3 linked regions of the Astyanax mexicanus genome follow. The protein of the gene in region 1 purifies or fractionates together with the protein of each later gene. This does not show direct contact. Links are inferred from orthologs where the notes say so. Each region holds a gene or a part of one and is shown on either strand. Other genes may lie near its edges.

What was found.
Region 2: the proteins of imp3 (region 1) and utp3 purify together in Homo sapiens (affinity purification with mass spectrometry; 3 studies listed by BioGRID and IntAct, with this or other methods). This does not show direct contact. The link is inferred for Astyanax mexicanus from reciprocal best matches to the Homo sapiens genes IMP3 and UTP3.
Region 3: the proteins of imp3 (region 1) and utp25 purify together in Homo sapiens (affinity purification with mass spectrometry; 3 studies listed by BioGRID and IntAct, with this or other methods). This does not show direct contact. The link is inferred for Astyanax mexicanus from reciprocal best matches to the Homo sapiens genes IMP3 and UTP25.

Annotation. Positions count from the first base shown.
Region 1 is NC_064415.1:56,928,059-56,938,603, reverse strand, and holds imp3 (U3 small nucleolar ribonucleoprotein protein IMP3), read right to left. Parts: upstream 5,092-10,545; 5' UTR 4,960-5,091; coding exon 4,823-4,959; intron 4,206-4,822; coding exon 4,098-4,205; intron 3,984-4,097; coding exon 3,909-3,983; intron 3,714-3,908; coding exon 3,634-3,713; intron 3,258-3,633; coding exon 3,206-3,257; intron 2,981-3,205; coding exon 2,908-2,980; intron 2,425-2,907; coding exon 2,398-2,424; 3' UTR 1,997-2,397; downstream 1-1,996. Other genes in the region: slc35a3b (solute carrier family 35 member A3b), read left to right, coding at 8,014-8,064. UniProt on the Homo sapiens protein: Component of the 60-80S U3 small nucleolar ribonucleoprotein (U3 snoRNP). Required for the early cleavages during pre-18S ribosomal RNA processing. Part of the small subunit (SSU) processome, first precursor of the small eukaryotic ribosomal subunit.
Region 2 is NC_064431.1:34,111,749-34,122,690, reverse strand, and holds the start of utp3 (something about silencing protein 10), read left to right. Parts: upstream 1-5,952; 5' UTR 5,953-6,104; coding exon 6,105-6,121; intron 6,122-7,443; coding exon 7,444-7,531; intron 7,532-7,697; coding exon 7,698-7,754; intron 7,755-8,550; coding exon 8,551-8,607; intron 8,608-8,787; coding exon 8,788-8,917; intron 8,918-9,079; coding exon 9,080-9,148; intron 9,149-9,649; coding exon 9,650-9,771; intron 9,772-10,196; coding exon 10,197-10,358; intron 10,359-10,942. UniProt on the Homo sapiens protein: Essential for gene silencing: has a role in the structure of silenced chromatin. Plays a role in the developing brain. Part of the small subunit (SSU) processome, first precursor of the small eukaryotic ribosomal subunit.
Region 3 is NC_064414.1:9,280,323-9,290,374, forward strand, and holds the start of utp25 (U3 small nucleolar RNA-associated protein 25 homolog), read left to right. Parts: upstream 1-5,194; 5' UTR 5,195-5,253; coding exon 5,254-5,354; intron 5,355-5,869; coding exon 5,870-5,909; intron 5,910-7,515; coding exon 7,516-7,723; intron 7,724-9,304; coding exon 9,305-9,634; intron 9,635-9,845; coding exon 9,846-9,934; intron 9,935-10,052. UniProt on the Homo sapiens protein: Component of the ribosomal small subunit processome for the biogenesis of ribosomes, functions in pre-ribosomal RNA (pre-rRNA) processing. Essential for embryonic development in part through the regulation of p53 pathway.

The sequences.
Region 1 (10,545 bases):
TACAAATTATCATTGGTGCCCAAACTTTTCCATTCCACTGTAAGTTATATTACACCAACCATCTAGCAAGCTAAGCTTAACATTAACCTAGCTACACAGTTATTTTAACCACTACTAAATTAGCCAATAAAGGTGGCAGTGCTGGCTCATTTATCATCGTCATCACCCTGTGCTGGACCATAAAAAGCAAAAAGAAGCAGCACATGCACAGCAATGTTATTTATATGTAAGCAATTCACACATAGCTTAGCTAATTAATTATGAACACGAAACCCATTTCATATTGCTCTGTTTGTGTTTACATTGCCTCTAATACGAATCCAAGGCCTACTTCTGAAACCTAGCAAGCCAGGGGAATAGAAAACGAAAGAAAAAGACAAACGTGTACGTTTATAACCAAAAAACACTATTAAATCTTCTTTTATACACCATTAAACAACCATTTCTAGCATGCTAACCTAGCTAAGCTAAGCTAAGTGTATGATACGGATACAGCAGCAGTCTCTGCAGTGTAACAACTAGGAAAGGCGGTGCTAACCCGGACAAACAACAATGGAAACGGTTAAAAAAACAGCTAATTAAGATAATTGCGTTTATTATACTGCAGCAAGGGCACGTCTAGGATTAAACAACATGTAAAACAACCAACACACACAGCTAACTCGTCTCTTACCTTTAGTAAAAACGGGATTTTGTGGCGTGTTTGCTGGTCAGCGGTCAGCTATGGGAAGCGGGAGCTTCGTGTCCTGCATGGGAATCGCAGCCAGACATTAGCAATCGAGCGGGAGAACAAAGACCCGGGCGGTGGGTTATTTCACCCCCCGAAGCTTTGCTTAGGCTTTAAAAGCAGAGTTAGGCTTTTAGGAGTATTATAGATAATAACACATTAATTCGCGAAATAAAATGGAAAGCTTTGACCAGTTTTAACCAGTCTGAATCGGCTTCTTTTAGGTAATTACCCGTTCCACCTTAAATGGCGCAGCATGTAGCAGCATGTACGTTCTGTGTGCTGCCGTAAATGTACTGTAATTGCAGTAGGATTTAAGGTGGAACAGGATGGATGGATGGATAGGTTTTTAGACAGAAATAGACAGACAGACAGATCGATAGATATGTAGACAGACAGACATAGGGATATATAGACATGCTTATAGATATTGTTGTGTCTTCTTGTCTCTTGTGGACTCCTCTTTGGGTGTTCTTGGAAGGCTGTAGAAGTGATAAACATCCATAGTACAGAATACACCTCAATATATAGGCAGGTAGATAGATAGGTAGACAGACAGACATATAGACAGATCAATTGATAGATAGACAGCATGTACTGTGTGTGTGCTGCTGTACATGTACTGTAATTGATTTAAGACTTAAGGTGGAACAGGGATAGATAGATAGATAGATAGATAGATAGATAGATAGATAGATAGATAGATAGATAGATAGATAGATAGATTTAAAATGCTGGAGTCTGCGATGCTTAAACTTTTGCTATTGTTCTGTATTGAGAAAATTAGTACTTTTATAAACATGATTTTGTTCAATTGCTCTATAGGAATCCATTCATTTTGGTATCACCCAGGTGCTCCCTCTTGTGGTGGCACAAACCCACAAGAGATTATGAACGATAATAAAATTTGATCATTTCATTTTTTAATGATTAAACTTATCAACATGTAAAACAGCGCAAATTAATTTTTGGGAACTATATGATAATTTTATAAAGAAATTGTGGTTTAGTTGGACTATCAGCATGACTAGGGCAGCCATTCTGTTATTCAGCTAAACCATCAAACTCAACATAAACTTTCAGCTGGTCATAAACTAAGCTGACCTAGCTGTTTTCTTTTTTTTTTTAGATTCACACGTTATACCAAACTATATCATGCCAAACTTTTGCTTTTTTTCTTCACATTTATCTAGGTATGTATGTTTGCTGTAAATCTATATGATGAGACGGGGTCATACTGGTATGCAATCCATACTGAAATAAGACAGATTTTCTTTCCAGATTTATTATTTTAGCAGCCATACCTGGCTACAAGAACATTAAAGGAAAACAAAAAAATCCAACATAAAATGAAAGCTTTTTCTTCACACACTGTACAATTTTTGTTACAAAAAAATATGTTTTTGCAATTCTTAATGTACTAAAATGTCCCTCGCAGTGTATAATAAATATACAAATATTTTTATAACACATCACCAATGTGCTAATAGCCTCTCTTTGCAATCACAGGGGTTGCAATGTTTAAGCGAAATCCTTTCAGTAATAAAGTCTTCATTCAGTCCATGGTGTATCGGCCTTGACTTCACATTGCTCTGCTGACTGCGGATCCAGAGTGGCTTCTGAGGTTTCCTTTGGCTCTCATGTTCAACAACCTCTGTCCAACCTCGGCCTCAAACCACAAGATCAAAGTCATCACGCTGGAGGAAGAAAGAAAAAAAGACAAGACATTATTTATTTGCTTTTAAGAAGTAAATGCGAGGTAGTGACATTAGCACACTAGCAAGTAACATTAGATTGCAAGCTGGAAACCTTATCATACTAGGTAGCAACGTTAGTGTATTGTGTATTGTTTATTGTACACAACAGCACCCAAAAATATTGCATGTTTAACTTCATTTTCCAGCAGGACTTGTCACACTGCCCACACTGACAAAAGTACTAATCTGATTAATCCCCTGAGAGCGGAAATGGATCTTAAAATCTAATTCAGAACCAATTGACAGAAATCCAGAGTAGGTGACATGAGGCCAGACATTCAAACTATTATAAAAACAGGCAACTTTCAATTGGGAACCGTTTATATTAATTCCAGACTGTTGTGAGAACAGAAACAAGACACACAAACATTTTTCCAGCACAATAACTAGGATAAAGGACAGACATTAGCATAGCATTCATACCTCCTCATTGTAATTCATGACATGCTGTTTGATCTTGGAGGAGTCCACCCAGGTCACAAAATCCTCCATGTTCCTGTGGAGGTAATAAATAAATAATGCAAATAAACCTATGGATAAACAAGATATGTAACAGTTGGGATGCACCAACTTGGGAACTGTAAGGTTTCTGTAGATATACTATACTGACAAAAGTATTCACTGGCCTGCATTGCGTTTGATGATATCACGTGAAAGCTGGAGTTGAATATGACTAAATTAAAAAGAAAAAAAAGAGAAAAAGAATAAAAACAGAACTGACCTTGTAACAAGAAAAGCAGGGTCTGTGACGACCTCTGGCCCAACACGAATATCTGCCATTCAGTGAAGGAACTGTAATAATCATATATATATATATATATATATATATATAAGAATACTAATTAATGATCAGAATTATGTAACCTAGTTGGATTTTATAAGTTAAATATTGATATTTTTAGATTCTAAAAAGCAGAAATCAGGTTCAAATGATATAGATTCAAATTCACGCTTCTAATAACATGATTCTAATTTCATATGACAGGTAAGCCTGTGTTTTGTCCACACTGTGTTCATCCTTAAATCAAAACAAACTGAATTATTAAGAACTGGTGAAAGCGCTTTTTTGGTGCTTCATGGTTTCAATAGGACCATTTCTTCTGGTTCTAACAAACTGAACCAGCTCTTTAAAACAGTAAGTAAGGATACGTCCTTGTTCGATGAACGTGACGGCAGCTTTCAGGTTCTGAGCCATGCGCAGCTTCAGCATAATTGTTGGCAGCCGTCTCCTGCAGGTCAGACATAATAGAGAGAAATCAATCATTACTTTTACACTATTTTCAAGCACAATTCTCTATTATACTTAGAATTAATCTGTAGCATGACACTGAAATGACTTTTGCACCATAAGTAAACCTACTTATACATCATGATCTGTTTTCTCACACACAAACAAACTCATTCACTCTCTCTCACTCACTCACCTACAAAAGCAGGAAGCACTGACAGCATCTGCAAGAGCCAGGTTCTGTTTGGTGGGGATCAATCCGATACAGTAGCTGCAAAGAGAAAAAACTGAATCAGACAACACATCCTTACACATTATTTTACACTATTCCACTGTTCAGAATATCAGCTACAGATGAGGAGGTGAGGAAAGTTCCTAAACGTACAGTTTCTCCAGGAACTGTGAGGTGCTCTGAGCTCGGAAACCGTCCTTTTCATCCAAGTCGCGGATTTTCTGGGCCAGTTCTCTGATGTTGCGACTCAGTTTGTTGTACCTAAAAAAAATAATACATTAACATTATAACATTAATATTTTCTTACCCTTATTCTAGTGTATCTAAAAAAAAATAAATATTATTGTAAAGTTAGTGTAATACACTATTTTAAGAATTTATTTCTTCTTTTTTGTTGATGATTATGGCTTACAGCCAATAAAAAACTCAACAATCAGTGTCTCAGAAAATTATAATAATATTACATAAACGCAATTGGTACTTGTGGTAGTGTCGGCAGTGTGCCAAGTACTGCTGGAAAATGAAATCCGCATCTCCATACTTTGGACCAACACCAGCAGATGACATGTCTCTCCAAATCATCACTGATTGGTGGAAACTTCACACTAGACCTCAAGCAGTCTGGACTGTGTGTCTCTCCATCCACTCTTCCTCCAGACTCTGATCCCTTGATTTACTTTAAATGAAATGTAAAATTTACTGATGAACAGTGATGGTTTGGAGAGACATGTCTGTCATCTGCTGGATCTTGTTTGTTATTTTTCTTTTGGTTCAGTTTTCAGAGAACAGTTAGACAAGGTAAAACAGGCAAACTGAGATTTTAAAAAGATTTTAAAAGAGGAAAAGGCTGAATCTGTATATTCAGTATAAACACTCACTTGGTGTAGTCCTCTCTCTTCTCGATGTGGTATTTTCTCAGGATCTTCACCTCGTGCAGGTTATTATCCACCTCCCAGTTAATAAAGTCTACTTTCCTCAGGAGCTTCTGCTCGTGGAACTTCAGCTTTCGGACCATTTTACCGATTAAATCCGCTAAACTACAGAGAAACAGAGAGAGCTAATCTTAGCGGAGTCTGAGAAACACTACAGTGAGTGAGGAGAAACACATGGCCGCCTGCAGGAGAAACACAGCGGCTCTGAAACAGCGCCCCCTACAGACCGGGAGGAGCATTTAATTTCTTTATTATTCTCTCTCCATTTAGCCCCATTTCCACCTTCTACCGTCCAATTTACTCCTTTTTTAATCTTTCTATCTCCTTTTTCTCTTATTCTTTCTTTCTTTTTTAATTTTGTGTTGTTTCCTTTTTAGCTCACTTTCTTTCTTTCTTTCTTTCTTTGTTTTCCTCTTTAGTTGATCTTTCTGTCTTTTATTTTTTTCTGCATCTCTTCTTTCTTTCTTTCTTTCTTTCTTTCTTTTTTCTTCTTTATTCACATCATTCTCCCTTCTATTTGTCATTTTTAGTACTCTTTTGTCCCCCCAATTTTGTATTATTTTTATCCTCATTTGTTTTTCTATTTCTATGTCCTGTCCCTTTTCTTGTCCCCTTATTTTTTTCTTTCTTTCTTAATTTTTCTCTTATTTTTTTCTTTCTTTCTTAATTTTTCTCTTATTTTTTTCTTTCTTTCTTGTTTTCTTTCTTTATTTCTGTTGCTCTTTTCTTTCTTTCTTTCTTTCTCTTCAGTCCCATCCTTCTCCCTTCTGTCATTTTTCATACTCTTTTTTATTTTTATCTTAATTTTTTTTTTCAGTTTTACTTTTCTCTTTTTTCTTTACTATTTTTTTCTCCTATCCCCTTCCTCTGTTCCTGCTTTTTTATTTTGTATTTCTTTCTGTTTCATTTTTCTATTTTTCTGTTGTATATTTTGTTACTTTTGTACTTTTTCCTGTTTATTTTTCTCTCCTCTTGACTCGTGAGAATTGTGAATTTGCACAGTTGAGGTGTAAATATAATGTAATAACTCTCAGGTTGATACAGAATGGAGACGTTATGAATCATATGTTCAGTTTTGCATACCTGAGTAATTGCTGTAATTTATTGGTTGTTTTGTTGTTCTGAAATGAGCTTCTACTCTGTTCTTATGAAAAGAAAGAAACGTTCAGTCAAACCTGTTTCGTTTTATTTTTTTAAAGCCTCCATACCTTCACATCTGAGCTTTTCATCAAGGAGATTACCCTCACAATGGAGCTGAACTTTCTCCTCTATAGAAACTAGAAGAACTGGACCTGATGGTCCAACTGGCTTCCTGGACCTGCAGCATCCATTACAAAACTCAAAACTACACATTATCCTGTTCTATTTAACGGTTCTTCCAATCAAAGTTTAAGGACACAACATTTATACTCAACAGGGTGTAGCAAGTGTGGATTGACTGGGGACGATTCATTGCTTTCACGTGTAAAGCCAGTGTTCTGCCAGGAAACCCCCGCCAGAAAAAGCACCCCCTCTCGGCTGATTGGATTAGCTCCAATCAGTCTGGTAACTTTTAATATAGATTACTGAAACACAGACATGAAAAAATGAAAAGATGGCTTGTCTCACACTGCTGGCATCATGCATGGCTCAGGCATGTGGCTTTTTCTAATCCTGAACTGGGAAAGACCAGTGCCTTGTCCAGCGGCACCAGCCAAACCAGACCTCAGCCAGTCCACCCCACCCTCGGCTCCGTCTGACACATCTACTGTATCTGACATACAGAACTGCCCAGCACTGTGTAGACTCTGTGTGTGTGTGTGTGTGTGCATTGTTGGAATCCTAATTTTCCAGATACAGCTCTGGAAAAAAATAAGAGACCACTTAAAAAGACGAGTTTCCTTGATTCTGCAAAAATTAAAACCTCTGAAAAATAATTAAGAAGAAGATGGATGATCACAAGCCATCAAACCAAACTGAACTGCTTGAATTTTTGCACAGGGAGTGTAAATCATGAAGATATCCAAAAGCAGTGTGTAAGACTTGTTGAGGAGAACATGAAGTGAACATGAATAAAAACTGTGATTAAAAAACACCAGGGTTATTCCGCCAAATATTCTGAACTCTTAAAACTTTATGAATATGAACTTCAGAAGTTCAGAAATCAAGTTTCCATGCATCTTGGCGTGTTCTTCTCCTCCACCCCTCCTACACACTGCTTTTGGATAACTTTATGCTTTACACTCCTGGTGCAAAAATTCAAGCAGTTCAGTTTGGTTTGATGGCTTGTGATCATACATCTTCCTCTTGATCATATTCCAGAGGATTTTGGATGCATTAAAAACATTTATTTAGTGGTGTATCACCTTGATGTGCTTCATGTTCTACCAGTGGTACACGTTCCACAATTTGAGAACCACTAGTATATGTGATTAATATGAGAAGGTCCTCTTTTTTATGTGTAAACGGCAGTGTGATGAGGGCAGCTGCCCGGCATGATGTCCATGTGGCAGGATGAGAGAGGGTGGGGAAAGGGAACACCTCCTAAAGCTGGCTTGCCCCTGTAGGTCTGCACCCTCCACACAGAGAGAGGGATTGTTTGGCCTCTCGCTCCCCTTCTCCCAAATAAAAAAAGCGCTGTGTGTTGACCTTCCAGCATAAGGCAGTCAGTGTGTGCTGGGATTCTGCTGTTTCTGGAGCCCTTATAACCTCCACACAGCACCGCCACCACCACCACCATCTAACCTCTCTGACTGACGGACGGACGGACGTGTTTGATTATGGCAGTATGAACTGGGGCTATTGAACTATTGTACTATTATAAAGCACTATTTAATCACAGTGCAAACATCTTAACTGGGAGGTGTGTAAACAGCACGCTGGACTACACCAGCCTCACACCGGCTGGCTGATTGCAAAACTCCAGCATATCCTCCTCGGGGCATGTGGTGTGCTTTAGTGGGTGTGACTGGTGACAGATGATTGGGAGTTTTGCTGAATTGACAGCACATAACTGAGGGCAGGTTTTACGAACAGGTCCGCCAAGAGCTCCTACTCTTAGTTACATGAGTAGAAAGAAACTGTCTGAGGAGGTGAAGTCTGTATGAGGAGAAGAAGGAGAAGGTGTTGGGCTCTGCGGTGAAACTTCTTCTAAGACAATGATGATAACGATGATGATGATGAGGATGATGATGATGCCACTTGCAATGGTAAGTGTTTTTTACCTTTATTACATTTAGAGTCACTTACCTTTAGTGATGTGCAGATCGATACTGAAATATCGATACCTCTGATACCAGATCTTTATGCTCTAAAATTTTCTACGATTTTCAAATCAACATATCAATACATTTGATACTTCAGTCATTTGAGGCAATATATATCACTAACAGGAACACAGTGGAAAGTAAATAAACTATGGAGATCTTGCCTGGGTCAGTGCAAAATGCGTAAGCAATTAACAAATATGATAATGAAATAAGTAAATAAGGAAGTTTAGAGTAAGTTTAGAGTAAAAATATGTGTATCACTGAGATGATTTATTAAAGTAAAATGCCTTAATTCTTAAAGAATTGATTGTTTAATTGATATACTAGCTGCAATTAAATTATAGTAATTGTGATAAAACAGCCATGGTGAACTATTGTGGCATTTCTTTATTTATTTAACTAAAAATTGTACTAAAAATTTCAGTTCGATCTCCTAGTATTATAAGACAGCAAGTGTTTGTATTCCCTTATCGTAGGCTATTTGAAGAGACTACATGCATAGTTAAATCTAAATAGGATTTCATTCAATGCAATGCAATTTAAAATAAATTAATACATTATTTGGATATCTTGTATTTTTTCTGAAGCTATGATTTGAAATTCACTACATTTTAAGAATTACCAGACACATTAGGTGTATCTGCACACAGTATCGGTATCAGATTGGTATCGCCGATACCAGATTGAATTATACTCTGTATCGGATCGAAAAGGAAATCGGTGGTATCGAACATCACTGCTTACCTTTAGAGTAATTTATAATCATGCAGGATAATGGAGAGTTAGGAGTCTTGCCCAAGGGCTGTTATTTATTGCTTTTAATATCCACCTGGGGTATTGAACTCTCTAGTGGTGACCTTACTAGCCTCACTTCTCTTAATTGATAATGAGTAAATAACCCAGCTGGCATTTTAACATTAAATCATTGTTAATCAGCGTTGATGTGGTGTTGATTTTAAAAAGTATATCAACGTTAATAGGATATAGCAACGTTGATTCAACGTCATACATTCAACCTTTAATAAACCATAGCTCACTAAAATGAGAAAATCCTATGGTTAACAGAGTTTTTTTTTGTACTGTATCAAAATTTCATCATGAATGGGCCAATAGAAATGCTCCAAAACAACTTGGAATAACTTTATTTTTTTGCAACTGACATCCATTAAAAGCTAGGGTTTGTTCCTTCTGTTAAACGTATGCCGTTTTTTGCATATGCCGTGAATTTGCATAGTAGCTACAATATATTATGATATCTCTGATGCGTCATTTCCTTATTTCTACAAAACCTGTTATCCAGGATGAGAAGCAGGAGTTCAAATGTTGCCTTCCTCCACTAGCTAATCCCTGTGAGTAATGTTGGATTTTGACATTTGTACAGACTTTATCTCAGATACCTCAGACTTTTTTATGTCCTAATTTAATCGTGTTGTTGCTCATCCTCTTCCTCTTCCTCTTTTTACATCTAGCTGTTCCATGAGTAATTGTTCTTCTCATTATTTGTCCAAAACAAAAAAGAGCTTCAGTTTTGTTCTCTGGTCTTCCAGGGAGAGATGGTAATTATTTTTTTGCTACACTGTAAAAATGAAAAAGTTGAGAGAACTCAAAATGTCGAGACATTTTTACACATATGTATAAAACTTAAAACTGTTCTCCTTAATGTGATTTTTGAGTCAGCTGAACAATAACTATTGAACTGCACCCTAAAATAAAAGTTTCTAGTTAAAAGTAGGTTTAAATAAATAATCTGTGTTGGAAAAATTGTACAAATTGAAGGTAAACCCTAGTCGAGGCTAAGTCAACTACTCTGCACTAAAGGCTACTGCACATGCTCAGTTGGTGAGATTTAATATAAGCGACTCGGTTCTGATACATCAGCTGACAGATGCAGCCTTGTGCTGATCCACATCACCTTAGGAGTGATGAGGGGAAAGAGTGCCATGTACTGTACTCACCCAGAGAAAGAGCAAAGCCAATTGTGCTCTTTTAGGGCTCCGGCAGCTGATGGCAAGCTGCATAACCAGGATTCGAACTAGCGATCACCTGTTATTACAGTTAACAAAGGTCTTCACTGGCTAACATCGCCCACACTATGTTATGTTATAGAGAGAGAGGACTGTCCTAGACACTCAAAATAAAGACAGAGGACAGACAGACGGATATCTGTAGCATTACTGTGGATTGAATTCCTGATTTCAGGAGCTCAAAGGAGACGTAGTTTCTAACAGCTCGCTTCACAAGACCTGTCAACACTGAAATACGAAAGCGTGTAAAGAACACAAACACTGACTGTCTTTCTCTGTTGATTTCTGGATTGACAGGTCGGGTGCTCACCCTGTTAGTTAGCATTCCTGTAGCTGCTGCATTTTTTTAGGTATCTAAACCCCATTAACCCCTAAGGCACTATTTTTTTGTGGCCCT
Region 2 (10,942 bases), on another chromosome or scaffold:
ATGGTTTTAAAACTAGAATGGTCAATGTCGGCCAATTGTAGTTATGCGGCCAGCATAGCTTGGTTCTTTTCTGGCATACAATAAATACATCAGCAAGTGTCAGTTTGAAATATATGCCAAAAAAGGGCAATTATCCGCCAATACCAATATAATTCCAATACCTTGTGCATCCCTATACAAAAGCATCACGGAGGTATTCATTTCGGTCTAGCAAGGTAATGCACTGCAAATAATCACATTTATTTCCTATGGAGTGCACTGGAAAGCAGTTATAAAGTTGATCATTAAAAAACAAATGTGTCAAAATATTGGTTTGCACTGTTCAAGAAGTGACTTCCACACCCAAATCCAAGACAAGCCAAACCAATGCAAATTTATCATAGTTTACTTTACAATTCCCTGGAACTTCAGCACTGCAAGACATTGAGCACTGAACTGAAGCATTTTATAAGGTTTTCAAATCATTGTAGATCGTCAAACATGTTACAGTGTGATTGAAATGATCACGCTTTGCACTTCTGAGTTTGAATTATGAGCAAAATCCTCAATTGCAGCTTTAAACAGATCTTTGAACAGCTTCAAAAAAGTGTTTACCCAATAAACCATTAGCTGAGGTGCATGAAAACAGACAGTGAGATCTCCTGAAAGAGTAATTCATTCTAAACTAAAAGCTACGCAAATGCTTACCTGTACAATTAGCGGCGCTTCGTTACTAGTTGTGGACGTAACCCAAGCCAATCTTGACGGCAAGCATTTAAAATCAATTCTCGACTGCAATAAAAGAATAAATGGAAGCAAAAACATCAATGCAAACAGCAAGAAAACCAGGAACGCCCAGTATGCATCTTGTAGTACACCATTCAAAACCAGCATTTTCCAGCATTTAGTACAAAGAGGTCTAATTCAGCACATGTTTGGCTAGCTGCAAAAGCCACAGCCAATTTTGAAACTGGTAAAAAGCATGCATTTTATGTAATTCATATTAAACCCAGCATAAACATTCAGATTTGAGATAACAAAAAACAAATAAACACAAAATCAAAGCACATCCACATTATTCAGTCATGAAAACGCAAATAAGAAACAGGATAAAGCATTTTGAGAAACACAAATCAATCAATAAGATTTAATAATAATGTGTGTATTTATCAAGGTCTTGATATCTTTAGTGTGTACCCCTAAATAAAACAGTGCAAGAGGACATAATTGTTATAACTGGAACATCCTTGGTTATATCTGTACAACAGATACATTCAGGACCATCTCCCCTCACCAAACTTCTTACGATTCTTATTTCTTAAACACAAACCAAAAAACAGATCATCACACTGTTGCCAAACAAGTCTGTATTACAATTCTACTGTTAAATAAGCAAATTCAGTCCTAAATTAGAAATGGCGCAGAAATAAATAGAGGACAAATGACCATAAGCCAGCTCACTGTCTACACCAAAACATACGCACACTGCGATTGTGGATTGTGTATAAGCACCAATTCAACCACTATTTTGATGCCGCAGTGATTTCAAGCCAACCAATAGCGTGGTGTAAACAGATTTAAAATCAAAACCTGATCGTCTGTCTTCAAACGATTAGTGCTATGGATACGATACACAAGATAATTCAACGAAAGACTACAGAAGGCCATTTTAGCTTAATGTGACAAAAGCGACACAAACCCAAACTCTATTTTTACCAGTAAAGAGTCTAATTACAGATCTGTAATGTGGTTTCTACTAGTAGAAGAATGTAACTGGAGTTTTTACTAGTATAAATGTAATTATAGCTAGCTTAGATATAAGTGTGAAATCCCGTGTAGCTAAATCAATGATAACATTTGACTATATGTGGCCCTGATAATACAACTGATATTATTAGCGTTAATGGCTTGTAGGTGGTTCTACTAGTATAAACTGCTTTAAATAGACCTGTAATCCGAGATTTTACCAGTAAAAACCTGTCAATGGTGTCATTCTAGGCTAGAAGCAGACAACAGCATTTAAAACAATCACCCACCAGCAATAAAGATAAAGTAAAATGCATTTTTCAGAACCAACCAACCAGAAACAAAATGAATCAGACCGAATTAAAACCAACAAGCTGGCCACAGAAACACAATTAAACCGAATTTGACACTCTGAGAGAAGGAGAGTACATATTGCTCTTAAGTGGAAAACAAACCAGTTGGCTACAGAAATACACTTACACCGAATTAAAACCAACCAACAAACAGGATGCATAAATACATTTAAACCGAATTAAAACCAACCAACGGGCTATAGAAATACAACTAAACCGAATTTAAACCAACCTACAGGCTACAGACATACAACTAAACCGAATTAAACTATCCAGCTGCCACAGAAATAAAATTAAACCGAATTAGACCCTCTGAGAGGAGAGTGCAGTGATATTAGGTGGAATAACTTTCTGAATCTTTCAGTACAAAACAAGAACCAGTGAAAAGAAGGAAATTTAAGAATCTGAAAGGAACAAAAATACAAATATTCATCCCAAAAGCAGCGGAGCGACACAGAAAGGCTTCCAAAGAACGAAAATCTGACCAAATAGAGCTGAATAAATGGAAATAGTTCTGAATAAAGCTAAATAAAACTACACAATGCTGAATAACAGCGTAATAAAGCTTAAAACAACTGAATAAAAGCTAAATAATGCTAATTGCAGCTAAATTAAAGCTGTATAAAACCTGAGGTAACTCAGACTGCAGATGATTAGCGTTAGCTAGCTAAGCTAGGCTAAGCTAAGCTAACTAATACCAACAAAGAGACAAAATGGCGCAGAGCAGCAGCAGCAGGTCAGCTAAATAAAGCCCTAAAACACAGATCCAGCTCTCAGTAAATCACTAAAACACCGATAAATCAGATCATATAAACCCCCCGGACTGAACCACAGAACCGGGTCAGCGCTGGAGCCCCTGAGCCCGCTGTAAGCGGGGTGATGTGTGTGAGAGTAGCGTCGGACTAGTGCCCGGAGCTCCGCTGGGTAAATGGCGGCGGAGCGGCTGTAGTACAGTGTGAGTATTAGAGAGTATATATTAGAGTTCTGCAGTTCTGCGGGTCTTACCGAGTTTATCTGCTTTTAGCGCAGCTCTACTGATTCTGCTCTGTTTACCCGCTCGATTTATCAGCAGGAGCCGGGCTCTGGATCTTCTGTACCGCGGGGTTCTGCTCCCCTCAGCTGCAGGATCATCTCTGAGTAAAACCGCACAGCAACCCCCCCACCATACCCTATACACACTTTACACACACACTACACACAGCGACCCGCAGAACTACGCCCTCTAGCGGGGCCAGTAAATATACCTCTATCAGACAGACAGACAGACAGATAAACAGATAGATAGATACTACTCAATTAAGTAAAGTTAAGAAATAATTTAAGAAAAAATAATGGTCAGTCAATCCAAAAAGAAGAATTATTTTTTTTTGAAAGTATCCTCAAGTGCAGTCGCAAAAAAGACATCAAAAATGTTTTGATGATGAAACTGGCACTCATCAGGAAACCACCCCCAGGACAGGACGCACAGTAGTTCCCTTGCTCTTATTTAAAATCAACTCTCGACTGCAATAAAAGAATAAATGGAAGCAAAATCCTCAATTGTAGCTTTAAACAGATCTTTGAACAGCTTCAAAAAAGTGTTTACCCAATAAACCATTAGCTGAGGTGCATGAAAACAGACAGTGAGATCTCCTGAAAGAGTAATTCCTTCTAAACTAAGAGCTACGCAAATGCTTACCTGTACAATTAGCGGCGCTTCGTTACTAGTTGTGGACGTAACCCAAGCCAATCTTGATGGCAAGCATTTAAAATCAATTCTCGACTGCAATAAAAGAATAAATGGAAGCAAAAACATCAATGCAAACAGCAAGAAAACCAGGAACGCCCAGTATGCATCTTGTAGTACACCATTCAAAACCAGCATTTTCCAGCATTTAGTACTAATTGGTCTGTTGCATCAGAGAAAATGCCAAGATGTGCAAAGAGATGTCTTCTTTGAACAATCTAAATTCTGGTTTGTTTAATAATTTTTAGTTGAGACGGAAGTGTAGTTGTTTTTCCACAACAGCAGAAAGACAGACATGTCTCTCCAAACCATCACTGATTGGTGGAAACTTCACACTAGACCTGGAGCAGTTTGGACTGTGTGTCTCTCCACTCTTCCTCCAGACTCTGATCCCTTGATTTACTTTAAATGAAATGTAAAATTTACTGATGATCAGTGAGGGTTTGGAGAGACATGTCTGTCATCTGCTGGTGTTGATCCACTGTGTTTTATTATCAAGTCTCAAAATCTTACAGCACTTCATATCTTACAGCTTCCCTCTGCTGAAAACAACTTTTATGGAGATGTGGATTTCATTTTCCAGCAGGAAAAAAAAGTAGACACACTGCCCACACTAATTTTCCGAGACACTGATTTTTTTATTGTCTGTAATCCATAATCATCAAAAATAAAAGCTATAAACGCTTAAAATAGATCACTCTGTGTTTAATACATCTATATAATATATGAGTTTCATATTTTGAACTGAATTACTGAAATAAAGTAACTTTTCAATGATAATCTAGTTTTTAGATGCACTAGTACTTGCTGTGTTTAATATATATAAATATATATAACAGCTGGGTCATGTTTAGAGCGGTGGCGCCCTCTAGTGGCTTCTGTAGGAAGCACACAGAGTGCTCTGTGGCTGCTGTCGTTATTACAGTACATTACGTTATAGTATATTTTCTACAGAACAGGAATAAACTTAATTTGCTGCTTTAAGTTCAGTCAAAAAAACCTTCATGATGGAACTGGCCCTCATCAGAACCGCCCCAAGAAAGAAAGTCCAAAGCTTCGCTGGGAATCACTCCCTTTTACAGGAATAGTGCACTGTATAGTGTGCCATAGACTTAAAATGTACTTCTAATTTAATTCATTTTTAATTATTTATTAGTTTTAGACATACTATATGGCGAGTCTGCCCACTTTCTGTTTTCCTCGTGAAATCAGTAAATCACTGTTCAACTGCTAGAGGCCTTAGAATCTCATTCCCACGACTCTTATTTAACGTTACACGTGTAAGTATCTTGTTCCCATGCCTTAATAAGTCATGGCCATGACTTTTTTATCTTATTCACACGACTTACTTTATTCACACACATAAGGATCTCGTTTCCACCCTTAATAAGTCGTGGCCATGCATTAGGATCTTGTTTCAACGCCTTAATAAGTCGTGGCCATGCATTAGTATCTAATTTCCCCGCATTAATAAGTTGTGGCCATGACATATTTATATCATTCACTCAACTTACTAATTTCATTCACACAACTTGCTTATCTCATTCACGCGCATAAGGATCTTGTTCCCACACCTTAAAAAAACTCACCTTTATAGGTGAATTTTTGTATATATTTTTATATATCCGCTGTAAATTTAGTGTTTTTGTGTACAGAGCTGTTTTATTTTATTTTTGTTCAGGTACTTTAGGATTTCTGCTAAATTTCGTTGTACACTGTGCAATGACAATAAAAGTATCTTATCTTATCTAATAAGTTATGGCCACGACTTACTAATCTAATCACATGACTTATTTATCTTATTCACATGCATTAGGATCTCATTCTCATGCTTTAATAAGTCATAATAAGTGTCCATGCAATATTATTTAATCATTTTTTTAACATGATGTCACCTAGTTTAACATTGTTTGTGTAATAAATAATTCTGCATGTGTTCGTGTATAGCTTTAATATAGTCTTTAATATTAAATTTATATTAAATTATGTTCAATTTAATCTATGTAAAAAATCATAAAAATAAAAAATAAAACAGTGAATGAGGAGAAGAGGCGTGTCCAAGTTTTTGACTGCTACTGCAGCTAAGGACTTTTAATTTGAAATGTGTGTTTCTGTACAGGAAGCGGTCAGGCGCTTGTGCGCATGCGCGTGTTGGTAAGCGCGTGGAGCTGTGTGGCTGTGCCTAGTGTGTTTACTGATTTTACTGTGTTTATATGATTTAATATATTTAATATAGAAATATATTATTATACAGCAGATCTTCAGTTTGTAATATAAAGCGCTGAGGAGCGGAGAGCAGCATGGTGAGAGCTAAAAGGTAAGATATGAGTGTTTAATACTGTTTTATGGGTTATTTAATAAATTTAAGTTTTAGTGCAGTATCTGCAGTGCTGTGTGATCCAGACAGTATAAAATGTTTTATTATTTTATCTTTATCTTATCAATGAACTTTATTACTGCAGTTCTTCTTCTCCTGTCAGATTAACTCTAATTCTAATTCTTTTCTTCTCTGCTGAAACTGAGACTCAGTCCTTAATCATGTTAATCTGAGCTAAAGGCTAAAGCTGCTGTTTCCATGTGGGTCAGCCAGACGTCTTCCTGTAGCAGTTTTTATCTCCAGTTTATTACTGATACTATTATTCATTTTGATACTAACTGATAATCTGCTTTAGTTTAATTTAATTAGTTAAAGAAAATCACCTCCACAGAGCCCAGCTTCAGTCATTAGCCACCCTAACCCTGATAGTAAGGAACATTTGTTTTGGTTGCATTAACTATGCTAATTACATCTTTTAAGGGTTTCTACCATTTGATTTATTTCACAAAACGTTTAATCATTAAGTGTTGGGCAGTTTGACCAAAATGCATATCACTGTACTTTTTAAGATTCTGACGGTTTCACGTTATATCACAGTATTTTTTTTTATTTTTTATCTTATTTATTTATTTATAGTTTTTTTTATAGCATGACTGGGCTTTTATACAGGTTTGTGACTCACTGTACTGTTAGGAGTACATATAATATAAAACACTAATGCTTTAATGCTTTAATTGGCTTTACTTGGTCCCACAAAATATATAAACAATATATGAAGAAATCAGATTTCATTAGCAGAAAAAAAACACCTGAAAAAATGTGAACAATAGACTTAAAAATGTGGACGACTTTTACACGGCTTCCTTCACTAAACTAAATCATTAAAATAGTTCAATAAACAATATAAATGGATCTAAAATACTCAGTGTTTAAGTATTTAAAAGAGATATTTCTCAAAAGCACTATTTATATTGATTTACAATATGTTTTTATTGAAGCCATTAGAGTATTAAAATCAGCGACAATGCCCTTTCTTTCTCCAGTTAACAAATACATTAAATTTGGTTTATTTTTCCTTCCAATTATCCTTAAAGCTACAGTATTAATATATTTAAAAGGGTTAAAAGGTTATGGTTACTGCTCTTTAAGTTTATTTGCACCTCGTATCCATAGTTCTATGGAGTTTCATTACTTCTGCTGAATAAATAATTCTGTATTCTGTAAGTTAGAAATGTGTATATCTGTATCAGTGCTTTATGAATTGTAATCGTAATTGTTATTCATATTGTATCACCAACCACTTTATCTCCTCTCTCCTGCAGGACGGTGCGAAGGCCGAGAGTGAAGCGAGTGGAGGAGTACGACAGTGATGATCCTGCAAAATATAAAAATGAAGATGTTCCTGATAAGGTACTGTCTGTACTGTCTGTGTCGGTAACTCCTGTCTGATTAGATCAGTCTGATTAATTAAATGAAAATTGCAGTAAAATACCTTATATGTTAATATTTGAGGAAAAATGGTTAGCATAATTATTTTACTTAATTCCTGGTTGTATTTGTCTTTTTTTCTTTTCAGAAATCTTTAAAGTACACAGAAGATAAAGTAGACGAATTCCACAACAAAACCATCTCTGTGAGTTACGGTACTTTTTACTTTACAGCTTCTTTTATCTTGTAAATAACTGTGAATAAACTGGTAAATGGTTGTGTGTAAGTGTATATGTGTGTTAGTCTTTTATGTACTTGTTGTTTTATTATTTGTAATTATTTAACCCTTTCAGACCTGAATGATGTTCCACTGATGGAAAAATAAAAAAACCTGGGTTTTCTGTATGTAATGCACATAAGGAAGACCCTAATAGTCTATATAGTCTATATAAAATAAAAATCACAAACCATCCCTAAACATGATTTAAAGTGCTCTAATCCAGAGGGCACTAATAGGCGGAGCGTGGTTCGGGTCTGGACCCAGATGTTGTCCCACGAGGATGCCTTAAATTATTGTGCACTAAAAATGAAGTAAAACTGTTAAATTTAGTCTGTTTGTGTTTCAATAAAATCTGGTCTTTCATTCTTCATATAAATTGTCCATTTTGGCCATAGTTTAGCAAATCTTGACATTTGCAGCCTAATAGCGAATGTAATTTTTTCCATTACATATATTTAATTGACTATATTAATCCATTCTTCCATTTCAATGCTGTTTTTTTTTTCAGTGCAATAAATGGGGCTAAGCTACTGTTTTATTTGTTGTAATAAATACAGGGTCTGAAAGGGTTCATTTTATTTGTAATTGTTGTAATTGTTAATCATAGAGTTCAGTTTTTAATCTGTTTAATAATGTGATGTGTTACAGTAGGTTAGATGTGTGTTAGTTGAGAGTGTATATATTGTATTAATCTGTATGTTTTGTTGTGTTTGTTGTGTAGAAGCTGTTGGCGCGTGGCGTACGGACAGATAATGATTATGAAGATGAAGCGGACGAGGTAATCAGATCTTCTCTCTTTTTTAGATGCACTAATATATTTTATTACAGTGTACAGTATGTTATTACTGAAGCCAGTGAAGGAAGTTCTCCACAGTTCTTCAGTTTCTTGTTACGCAGGAAGATGGTTGGGTCAGGTTTTCATATATAAATATATAGTAATAATTTGTGATCTGATTAGGAAGAGGTGATGCCCCTGACACTACAAGATTCAGACGATGATGAGGATGATGAAGAAGAGGACGGTGATGATGGTGATGAAGAGGGAGAGACGGATATGGAGAGTGATTTGGAAGGGAAAAAGGATGACGGTAAAAGGATATATAGTTTTATGTTTATATTATAATGTTCATTCATTTTTTTTTTTTTTTGTCATAATTTTATGTTCTTACGATACGTTTAAAAACGAGTTTTCTGAGTTTTGAGAATGTTGATAATTGGTAATGATGTTTTTATTGTTAATGTTTGTGCAGATCTGCCGAATGCCATGGCCTGGGGGAGCAGGAAGAATGCTTTCTATGATTCTGACTATACGACTACGAGTAAGCACTTTCAGTTATATCATTACTCTTACTTTATCTGAGTACTTATTTCAGTTACGAGTAAACTAACTAGTAAAAGTTACTATTTCCAATACATTAATCAGATTAAATGTACTATTGTTGGAATTTTATCTTTAGTAAAAATAATATATATATATATATATATATATGTGTGTGTGTGTGTATTGTTTTTTTCTTTTTGTGTCTCTGGGAGGGATGTCTGGTCTGTGCAACAATTAAGTCACATTTTCAGCCATTAATCTGATGAACTGGATCTTTTCCACATGTTTTTTTAATAAATGAGAAGCTATGTTAGTCTGATTAATTGGATGTAAATTGCTGTAGAATGCATTAAAGTATTGAGAAACTATACATTCGATTAAACATAATTTTTATTCTCCTCTGTAATGAGATGTACATTCACTCTCATTAACTTATTTAAGTACTGATAATTTATAATGAATTTATAAAATGTTTTTATATTTGCGTCGCTGTTTTTAGAGAAGAAATCGTTGGTGGAGACGGAAGCAGAAGATAAGGAGGAAGAAGAGGAAGCTAAAAGCATTCAGAGACGACTTGCAGCCAACCTGAGCGAGGAAGACTATGATCTGAATCTGCTGCAGGTAAAATATATAGACTTTTATATATAACTTTTACATCAACAATAAACAGAATAGTAAATAAAATAACATTGCTGTTCCCGTAAATGAGCTGCTGGAGCTCCTTCACAGCGTCAACCAGCAGCTCAGTTTCCTCTGCTGAGAAGAGTTTGTTGAACACGTCCAGGTAGCTGCACCTTTACAATAGCAATCCACCAAAGACAGAGCTCACCTGATCTACTCTTAAAGAGAATGATGAGCAAGAGACACTCTGATTGGGTTATTATTTCACGTTACGCCCAAAATTAACCAGAATTAACCACACCCACCATTAATTAAGATAATTAGTATTAAAAGCATGACTTTTGTGTGTTTCGAGCTGCGCAAGGTGTACTTTTCCCGTCGTTCTGATAGCGAAGACTCACTACAGCATCTGTCTGTGTCGTCAGGAGTTTGCGGTGGAGGCTGAAGATGAGCAGACGGAGGAGAGCGGAGAGAAACAGCAGAGGATTGAGAAGGACCTGGATCAAATGTCTCAGAAGGAGAAGCTGAAACTGCTGAAGAAGGAATCTCCTGAGTTACTGGAGCTCATTAATGACTTTAAAACTAAGGTACAGTAGAGCAGCGGTTCTCCACCTGATTATAATTATAAAGCATGTATTTTAAACCTGACCTAACTTAAATGCAATACATGCACAGATTTATGTATAGTTTTTGTCATATCTGCTGATATCTGTTATCTCCTATACTTAATTTATTCTGTTACTGCACTACCTCATATCTACGACTGATTACCTCCACACTTTCTATAGTTTTGTGTTTATATAATTATGTATATATTTTTAAATCTCAGTTTAGAGTTTTATATTTCTTACTTGGCTCTCTTATTTTACTACCCCTATTGTTTGTTTCTACTGTAAATTTCCTTCAAGATCAGTAAAGTTTCTGTCTATCTATCTTTCTATGTCTGTCTGTCTGTCTGTCTGTCTATCTATCTATCCATTTTATTTTGTGTTTTGCTTCTTGTGAAAACGTTATAATTGGGCAGGAACAGTTGTTTAAACTAAATATCATCCATTTAAGTTAAATTGCTGAAAATGTGCAAAGATTTTAAACAAAAAGAAAAGCAGAAGCTGTTGTTTTCTCTGGTCCGGATCAGATGATGAGTTTGTTTATTTGGTTGGTTTGGTTTCAC
Region 3 (10,052 bases), on another chromosome or scaffold:
AATTTCATACGTTTTTCTTTATAGTTAGGATGACTTGCACATTAATCTACAATGCAGAAATTGCAGTCATGCAGAATATGATGGATGGAAAAGTGTGTTTTCATCAGACCAGCCTTTCAAACACACCAATGATCAAAAAACAGCTATGAATCCAGCTACTATCCAAAGCTAGTCTTGAGCTGGATTCCTTTAGCAGGCATTACGGGTTAGCTATATTAGCCTCGCAGCTCTAGTGTTAAACTAAAGAAGCACATTTCAGACACCAAATACCTCTTATTAGTGTCCTACAAAACGTACAGTGAACCTCTCGGGGCATAAATTATGGCACAATAAAAAATACACAGTATAAACCTGCAGATAACATAAAAATGTACATTAGCGTTAGCCCAGATACCTTATAAATAAAGAAGATTTATGTTCCCAGCTAATGCGTTTCAACACAGACTTAACAGCTCAGAACGTGCTTTCCAACTGCGTATTCCCTTACAGAAGAAACGTATGGAATCTCACACACCATGCTGGCCTTCTGCCACCACACACACACACACACACACACACATATACACACATACATATACACACACACATACATATATACACACACGTCATGTGCCTCCGGCCTGCTGTTGCTCTTTCCAAGCCCCTGCCATGCTGCAGCATTCTCCGCTAGCAATTAAAACTCACAGCCACTTTGATTTTGATGTGGGCAATTTAACTAGTGCCCCATAAACGTGGATGTTTTTGCACAGAGCGCTGTTGTTTTGGCCGTTTATTTCTTTTAATAAGTTGGAAAGCACTTCAAGAAGAACTGCGATCCGAACACATGCCGTCCAGCTGCAGCAGGTCAGCATGAATTACATGAATTATCAGCCGTAATGCTTTAAGAGGGCTGGCGTTTTATTGAGCTCTGCGCAGAGCCAAAGTACGTCTGGACTCCAGAGTTTCTGTGTAAAACATCAGGCTTGGGATGCAACAGTTATTTAATGAATTAAATTCACTGAGCAGTTTCTTAAAACAAGCGGACTATCTTCAATGGACATCAATGACTGAAGAATAAACGCTGTAACAGCCGAACTCCAAATAAATTGTGAATTATTCCATTTTCCACATGCTTATTGTCTTGAGTAAAGCTAAGCAGTTGATATAAATAATAATAGAAATTAATAGCAGACAGTTAGCTTGGTGCTAACTGCATACCTCACACATTAGCTATGTTACGAAGCCTAGTTTGCAGGTCAGGTATGGGCAGCATTGTCTCAGAAGGCTGTTTTAACCCTTGTGTGGTGTTCGGGTCTGTGGGACCCGTTTTCATTTTTCATCAAATGATACTAAAAAAATATTTTTTCGAACTCAAACTCATTGGCATTGGCTCATTTTTTGTGAAAAACATATATCAAAACACATTTTCGATAAACACACACTGTACACCCACCTACCCCCCCTACACATTTATATTACATACAGTATGTTTGGCCAAGGGCTAATAAACATTGCTTCATTTGTAAATTTGAAACGAAACAAATTTTCTACTCATATCTTGAGTTTAATTCATTTTCTTTTACATTTTATTAAAAAACTAATAAAAAAGAGTAAATGTAACATAAGAAAGGTAAAGGGCAAATACTAACCATGTAAGCTGTTTATATTGCTTGCAATTTAGGTGAAGGAAGCATGTGTAAAGCATTTTAATGTAAAATTGCTTAATTTTGCTGAATTAAATACAAGTAACAAAGTAAACGAGTAACAAAAATATGAACACCACACAAGGGTTAAGTGAGAAACCCTACATATGCAGCCTAGAAAAACAGCTTACATTCAGAGCTTTTGAGAAATCAAATGGTGCAATACCAATAGAGTTGTCAAATAATAAAGTACAAATAAGTAGAAATATTGGTTATCTATGCTTTACTGGAGTATTATATATATATATATATATATATATATATATATATATATATATATATATATATATATATATATATATATATATATATATATATATATATAATTATCTTTCAAATAACTTTCTCATCCTATCATTTAAAAAAATATGAAATGATAAAAAAGCTGAAAATTTAATTTCAGCTTGTTTTTATTCCTTTAAACCTATCCAGATAAAAATCTCCATCCAGATAGAGTGTGGAATCTGATTGTGGTTGGATGAGTGTAAACCATGACTGTCAACGTTAAAGCATTAATGCAGTTGATTAATTTGGAATCAGTAATGCGTTATATTTTTTACGCAATTAATTACACCACTTTTTAATGTCTTCAATTGTGCAACAATGTTGCACTAGAAAAAAATCATAAAAAGAAAGAAAACACAGGACAAGAGGTGTGTCCAAACATTTGACAGGTACTGTATATACATAGAGTCTTAAATATAAAAAGAGCTTTATAGAAAGCAACATGTTTTTTTATGTAAATTCTGCTTTATTGATTTATATAGAGGAATGTTGACCTGTTGATAAAGGTACATACAGCTTCAATGGTACAGCTATTTATATGGATGGTCACAAGCCATCTAACAAAACTGAACTAACTGGATTTTTTTGCACCAGGAGTGGTATAAGGTCACCCAAAAGCAGTGTGAAGGACTGGTGGAGGAGAACATGCGAAGATGCATGAAAACTGTGATTAAAACCTAGGGTTATTCCACCAAATATTGATTTCTGAACTTTCTTGCATTATTTAAGGTCTGAAAGCACTATTTTGACCATTTCTAATTTCTTCAAATAAATGCTCTAAATGACAATTTGTGGGGGGGGGGGAGAAATTTTATAAGAAGTTTATAGAATAAAACAACGATATTAATTTTACTCAAACATATACCTATAAATAGTCAAATCAGAGAAACTGATCATTTTTGAAGTGGTCTTTTATTTTTTTCTTAAGCTACATATATCATATATTGTATATATCATATATTGCATCTCCACATGGGACCTCTTGACTTATTTGAGGGACGTGTAAATAATCTGTTCACCTACACAAACATTAAAACACCTTGGAACGCCGGAGCTGATGCCTTTGGGGGGATAAATACCCCTCTGTAAGTTGGCACCGGACTCTATTGTTCTAACCTTTGGTGCGTTTATGACTCCGCTGTAAGCACTGAAGTGTGTGGGTTCATTCGTTTCACTGTGTCTTGTTTTGGCTGGCGGCCTGCCACGGTGTTATTAATAGGCACCCTAATCACTGGCAAGGCCTGCACTTTAAAATCCCTGTCCTCATAATCAGCCACCATATGGTATCAGAAGCTGGAGGGAGGTTACGCAGCGAGCAGCGGGGAAAATAAATAAATAACTGTAGAAATAAGGCTGAAACATGCACCGTATTTGGTAACGGCGCATGTGTTTTGGTTTAAAGGGAATGGAATGATTTTCACTGATCAAATCAATTGCATATTTTCCTGTACTCACTCAAACACACACACCCATACAGCAGTTAGATCCCTACAGAGGTCTCATATCAGATCTGCCACAATTCCCTGGTGAAGAGTAAAGCACCGAAAAGTTTCCATCACCAGAGAAGACTGTGTTTTAGTGGCCCTTTGATACAAAACTACATCATTACATCATTAACATTACTTCATTTAAACATGCCTACAGATTGTCTAGCTTAGAATGAAGAGCACATTTGTCTATTTATTATAATAAATAAATTATTTTTTTACATTTTTTTTATTTATTTACAGACATTAAGAAGCAAACCCATTTCACCACTTGGCCCTACCACACAGCCCTAGGGTGCCCTAAGGTGTCCCAATTCTTGTTAGGCTGGATGGGTAGGTTAGGGTTAATGTACCCTTTAAAAAAAAACTTGAATTTATTGTATTTTAGGACTATAAGGCACACCAGATTATATGGTCCACTATCAATGAATGTCTATGTTCTTACATAAGGCACTGCAGATTATAAAATGCATTAAGCGATACTAGTAAGGAACAAGGGTGTCGCCATGTTTCCCTTCTAATGGGGAAGCTGGGGGGAAGTAAACAAAATTGCAATTCTAAAAAAAAAAACATTCACACAAGCGCTGGATGTTAATCCACAAAGATTTCTCTCCTGAAAATGCTTTATTTGGGAGAGTAAAGTGCTTCAGTTTATTTACAGTGAGCTTAGATTTTTCAATATTTTGTATAAGGGTGAAGTGAAGTTTCTTCAGCAGCATTAGCATTAGCCACTTACCGCAGTGCTAGTGAGAAATAAGTGCCGCCTGATAGCACTAGACTGAGGAAGTCTGTGTGTTCTGGTAGCGGTTCATAACATGTAGCTTGTTTTAACACAGTAAACACGCAGACTACAATCCAATATGCTCACCTCTGAATGGCAAAAGAGCTACTGCTGTGGTTAGCGGCTAATGCTAATACTTCTTCACCCAGCCTTAGTTCTGGAGAAAATTCACTGAAAACTCATCCTTATAACGCTGTACTTCAGCAGAGTGGCTTTACTGATCCTTAATACCTGACTGGTAGAATTTGTACATAAGGCGCAGAGTTAAATTTGTAGTCTATTATTATACTATCTGATTATTTTGAGATATTTAGTCATTATGTTGAGATAACTAATTCATTATTTTGAGATACTGTCATTGCATTATATTCATTATATTCATATTCATTATTTTGAGACAGTAAATCATTATTTTGAGATAATAATTCATTATTTTAAGAGACTAAATCATTATTTTGAGATAATAATTCATTATTTTAAGAGACTAAATCATTATTTTGAGATAGTAAGTCATTATTTTAAGATAGTTCTTAATTATTTTGAGATAGAAAGTGCTATTTTGAGATACTTATTCATTATTTTCAGATAGTAAGTCATTTCATTATTTTGAGGTAGTAAGTCGCTCTTTTAAGATATTTATTCATTATTTTGAGATACTAATTCATTATTTTGACATTGTAAGTCATTATTTTAAGAAAGTTCTTAATTATTTTGAGATAGAAAATCGCCAATTTGAGATACTTATTCGTTATTTTCAGATAGTAAGTCATTTCATTATTTTGAGATAGTAAGTCATTATTTTAGACACTTCATTTCTTTCTTCAGTAAATATTTATATAATGTACTGTATAAATTTAGAGTAAATGAATAATACAGCAGTTGGTTACAGAGTGATGCTAAAGCTGAACACGTGGTTTATTGGGAGTGTAGTTCTCCTCCAGGCCGCCGGGCGGCGGCGGAGCTGCGGGTAAAAGGTAAACACAGCAGCGCTCGAGCTGGGAAACACGTGTTTAGTAAAATGGGGAAAAGGAGGCAGAAACAGCAGGATTTATGGAGTCTGAGTAAAAAACAGAAGAAGCACCTGAAGGAGTTCGGAGAGGAGCATCCGTTCCATGATGAGTAAGAGCTGCTGTGCTTTATTTACACAGTTTATTCCTGACTGTTTGCTCCTCTTGTGAAACACTGCAGCGGATACCGGCTGGGGTCTTACAGTATGGCTGAATATGTCTGATTCCTCAGTAGAGAGCTGCTGGCTGACTTTTTCTCTTATAGCTGTCCAGACTGACTCATTAAGCAGTGTAGAGTAGTGGAGCCACTCTGACAGAATAAATAAGATAACACTACTGCCTGAGGTTTATCTGTGTTAATATTAGCCTTTAGCACTTTTTCACAATTAAACAGGAGGCTAGATTACTAACCTTATATTCAGACATGCCTTGGTACCTCAGAATCATCCTTCAGTAGGCAGCATTTGATAGGATTGAGATAAAGCCAGTGCATTTAATACAATTATCTATTATCTATCTTGTTTAAACGAGAAGATAAAGACATTGACCTTATTAACGTATTAGTTTTAGTAAAATTACGTGACGAGATGTAAACAGCTCACTTTATTTCTGTGCTTTTTGTTTTAGTGTTCCTGACAGACGAGAAAGAACACAGATTGTTCGTTTGGTGAGTACCAGCTAAAGTCCCCTCTATTCGTAATATTATTAGAATAAATTATTTATAAAATAATAGAAATTATTTTATTTTATTTTATTTTTTTAGAATAAGTGCTTTGGAGTGTATATACACACGTGAACAAAATGTTTGATACCCCTCCGTTAACGAAAGGAAAATCCACAATGGTCACAGAAATAACTTGAATTTGACAAAAGTAATGATAAATAAATATCCTATAAAAATGAACAAATGAAAATCTGACTTTTTTTTTCAATCATGCTTCAAATGTATGCATCTGAATCATTTTAACCCTTGTGTGTTCGGGTCTGTGGGACCCGTTTTCATTTTTCATCAAATGATACTAAAAAAATATTTTTTCTAACTGAAACTCATTGGCATTGGCTCATTTTTTGTGAAAAACATATATCAAAACACGATAAACACACACTGTACACCACCCACACATTTATATTACATACAGTATGTTTGGCCAAGGGCTAATAAACATTGCTTCATTTGTAAATTTGAAACTAAACACATTTTCTACTCATATCTTGAGTTTAATTCATTTTCTTTTACATTTTTACATTCTTTTAGCACTTTTTGAAAGAAATGTAGCATAAGAAAGGTAAAGGGTAAATATTAACCATGTAAGCTGTTTAAATTGCTTGCAATTTAAGTGAAGCAAGCATGTGTAAAGCATTTTAATGTAAAATTGCTTAATTTTGCTGAATTAAACACAAGTAACAAAGTAAACGAGTAACAAAAATATGACCACCACACAAGGGTTAAAAAGTAAACTCATGATGGTACCCTTAACTTAAGATTTTGTTGCACAACCTTTTGAGGCAAACACTGCAATCAAACGATTCCTGTAACAGTCAATGAGACTTCTGCACCTCTCAGCAGAGATTTTGGCTGACTCCTCATGAGCAAACTGTGCTCCAGTCATCTCAGGTTTGAAGGTTTGCCAGTCGGCATGTTTCAGCTTCTTCCAAAGGTGCTCAGTATGATTTAGATCAGGGCTCATCTTGGGTGTTTTTATCTGTGTGTATTGGGTCATTATCCTGTTGACCACATGTAATTTGGCAAATTCCAGTTTGTGTTTTGATTTTAACAAATGTGTCCTCCTTGGTCATCTCCCATTAAGTTTTCTTTGGCTCAAATAATGACAAATTGTGTGATCTGATACTTATATTCCTTGAGCTTAAAGTTTACCTTTAATCTCTTTAAATGTTTTTTTGTCAATTTACCTTATGCAGCCACATCCAGGGAGGTTAGCTACAATCCCGCTTATTTAAAATTTCTGAATAATATGTGCAGCTGTAGTCACAGGAACATCAAGCTGCTTTGAGATGGTCTTTTACCCTTTACCTTTAACATAAACTCTAGTTATGCGTTTGTGATTGTAGGCCTGGCGCCATTGTTTAAAAAAAAAAAAAAAAAAAAAATATTTGGCCAAACCATAGACTGAAACAATAAAAGTAGATTAGCCTATTCAAGTTAGTCATACAGATAGTTCAAGAGCTTTAGCAGTATTTTAGATTTCTTTGGTAATGTGGCTTTATGACAAATAAAGCTATGTATGTTTAAATATTGCTCTTTCTCTTCACAGCCCAACAATCCTGAACACTCAGGCTCTGAGAGTGATGAAGATATCGACGAAGAAGGAGTAGAAGAAGAAGAGAAACCCTCTGCATATCAACAGCTGCTGTCAACTATGAACCGCAAAGCTGATGATAACAGTGAGGAAGAGGAGAGTGAGGAAGATGATGAGGATGATGAAGATGGTGTAGAAGAAGAAATGGTCAATCCAGATGAAGGTTTGCTTCGTAATAAATCATGAAATTCACTATATTTGCTGTGTGAGGTTTTTAGTTTATTTTTAGCATTAGCACAACATGGCTATTGTAGTGAATATGTAAATTTATGAAGCTAGCACTCTGTGATAGAATTTCTTGTTGCTGTTTCTGATATTGTGATGTTGATAAGCTTGCATTACTTATTAGCTACATTAGCATTGTAGCTCCAGAATAAAACTGCAGAAGCTTCAGGCTAGACCTGTCACAATAGCTTTTAGGCGATTTGTTTAGGGCAATATATTGTTCCAGAATAAATTGCGTTAAAAAAAGAAGTTGCATTTTAAAGACCATTTTATGCCAATGATATAATGATATTGTAGCATATTAACACAGGTACCTTCATTTTAAGCCCAATTTACTTTTTATTATTAAGAATTTTCAAATAATGAAAATGGATTATAATCTACAGTACCAGTCAAGAGTTTGGAGATTGTGGAAACTTTACGTTAGACCTGAAGCAGCCTGAAGAGCTCTCCACTCTTCCTCCAAACTCTGTTCCCTTGATTTCCAAAAGAAATGCAACATTAACTGATTATTAGTGATACTAGGAGAGACATTTCATCTGCTGGTGTTGATCCACTGTGTTTTATTATCAAGTCTAAAGTCAGTGCAGTTTTGTTTTCCCAGAAAATCTTACAGCACTTCATGCTGAACCTCTGCTGACAACTTTTATGGAGATGTGGATTTCATTTTCCAGCAGGACCTGGCACACTGCCAAAAGTACCAATTGGCCTTGATATATAATATTCTAATTCTCTGAGACACTGAAGTTTACTAAATAATCTCATAGGTTTTTCTTCATAATTTGGATGAACATTTTAAAATATTGAAAAAAAAAAACTGAATTTAAAGTGTGTTTAAACTTTTGACTTCAAACACAATGAACAGCAAAAATAATAAAGATCTAGGCCTGTCACGATAAGATTTTTATGTGGACGATATATTGTCCCAGAAATGATTGCGATACTCGATATTTTTGTAATTTAAGGACTATTAAACGCCACTGACATAATGATAACAGAATAACATAAAACTAAGTAATAATAAATAAATAAAAAATACAGAAAAGCAATAATACACCTTTTAAAGACTACAAAATTTGAATTAATCATTTATTATAATTAATATTATAATTAGGGAATTACATACTTATTGTTTCACCTATTTTAGTCCACTTTTTGTGTATGCAGTCACAGTTATTGAAGCATGACTGGCTAAAATACTGTTTATTGTTGAATATGTGAACAAACATACAAATAAACACAGTAGACGATATCGTGATTATCCAAAAATATTGAGGTCATGTTCATTGATTGTACAATAAATCGATATTGCAATTATTATTACAGGCCTATAGAGGTCACGTTCATATATTGTACAATATGTTAATTGCATAGTTATTATGACGGGTCTACTTCAGACACATTTTTTTAAATATAATAATATGCTTTTTTTTATTAATGTTTTCTTCATAGTGGGACCGATAAATCATACCGTTCTTAAGCCATGCTCATAAATGCTTTTTCTTTTTCTATTTGAAAGTAGATGATGATGATGATGATGATGATGATGATGCTGAAGAGGAGGATGCAGAAGACAGTGATGAGGATAATGAGGAGGAAGAAGAGGAGGATGGAGAAGAAGTTGAGGAGGATGAGGAGGAGAATGGAGTAAATGATGAAGATGAAAATGCCTCCAAAGAAGAGCCAGCTGTGGCTGGAGAGAAGAAAGGAGAGGAGAAGGGGGACGGAGAGGAAGAGCTGGAAGGAGAGTTTATAGACAAATCTAATGAAGAAGACTTTTGTCTGGAGTCCAACCTGCCTGCAGAGGAAGAACAGAATGAGGAGAAGAGTGATGGCAGCACAGGGGAAGGTAAGAGAGCTGCTGTGAAACATTAAAAATATCATTGCTGCCACACAAAAACGCATTAAAATACATTAAAATGCAAGTCTAAACTCTTATTTAGAGATTCATGAATACCAATACTGGTACTGGGTGTTGACCCACCACGATATCAGTATGAGGTACACAGATAGTGATCTTATACCTGTGACTAACAGTTATGTTGTGTTTTGCTAAACAGATGCATTTCTGAAGCACCAGGAGACAGAGCTGAGTGATGAGCAGGTGAAGAGAATCTCTGAGGGCTCTAAGATCAGGACTCAGGTTAAGGTAGGACACCATTCAGCCTGAATTATCCAGTGAAACCTGGGTTTTATAAAAGGATATTTCTAATTTTACACATTCCAACATGAGTCCTGACATGCGTGAGGTTTATGTGAATTTTGTT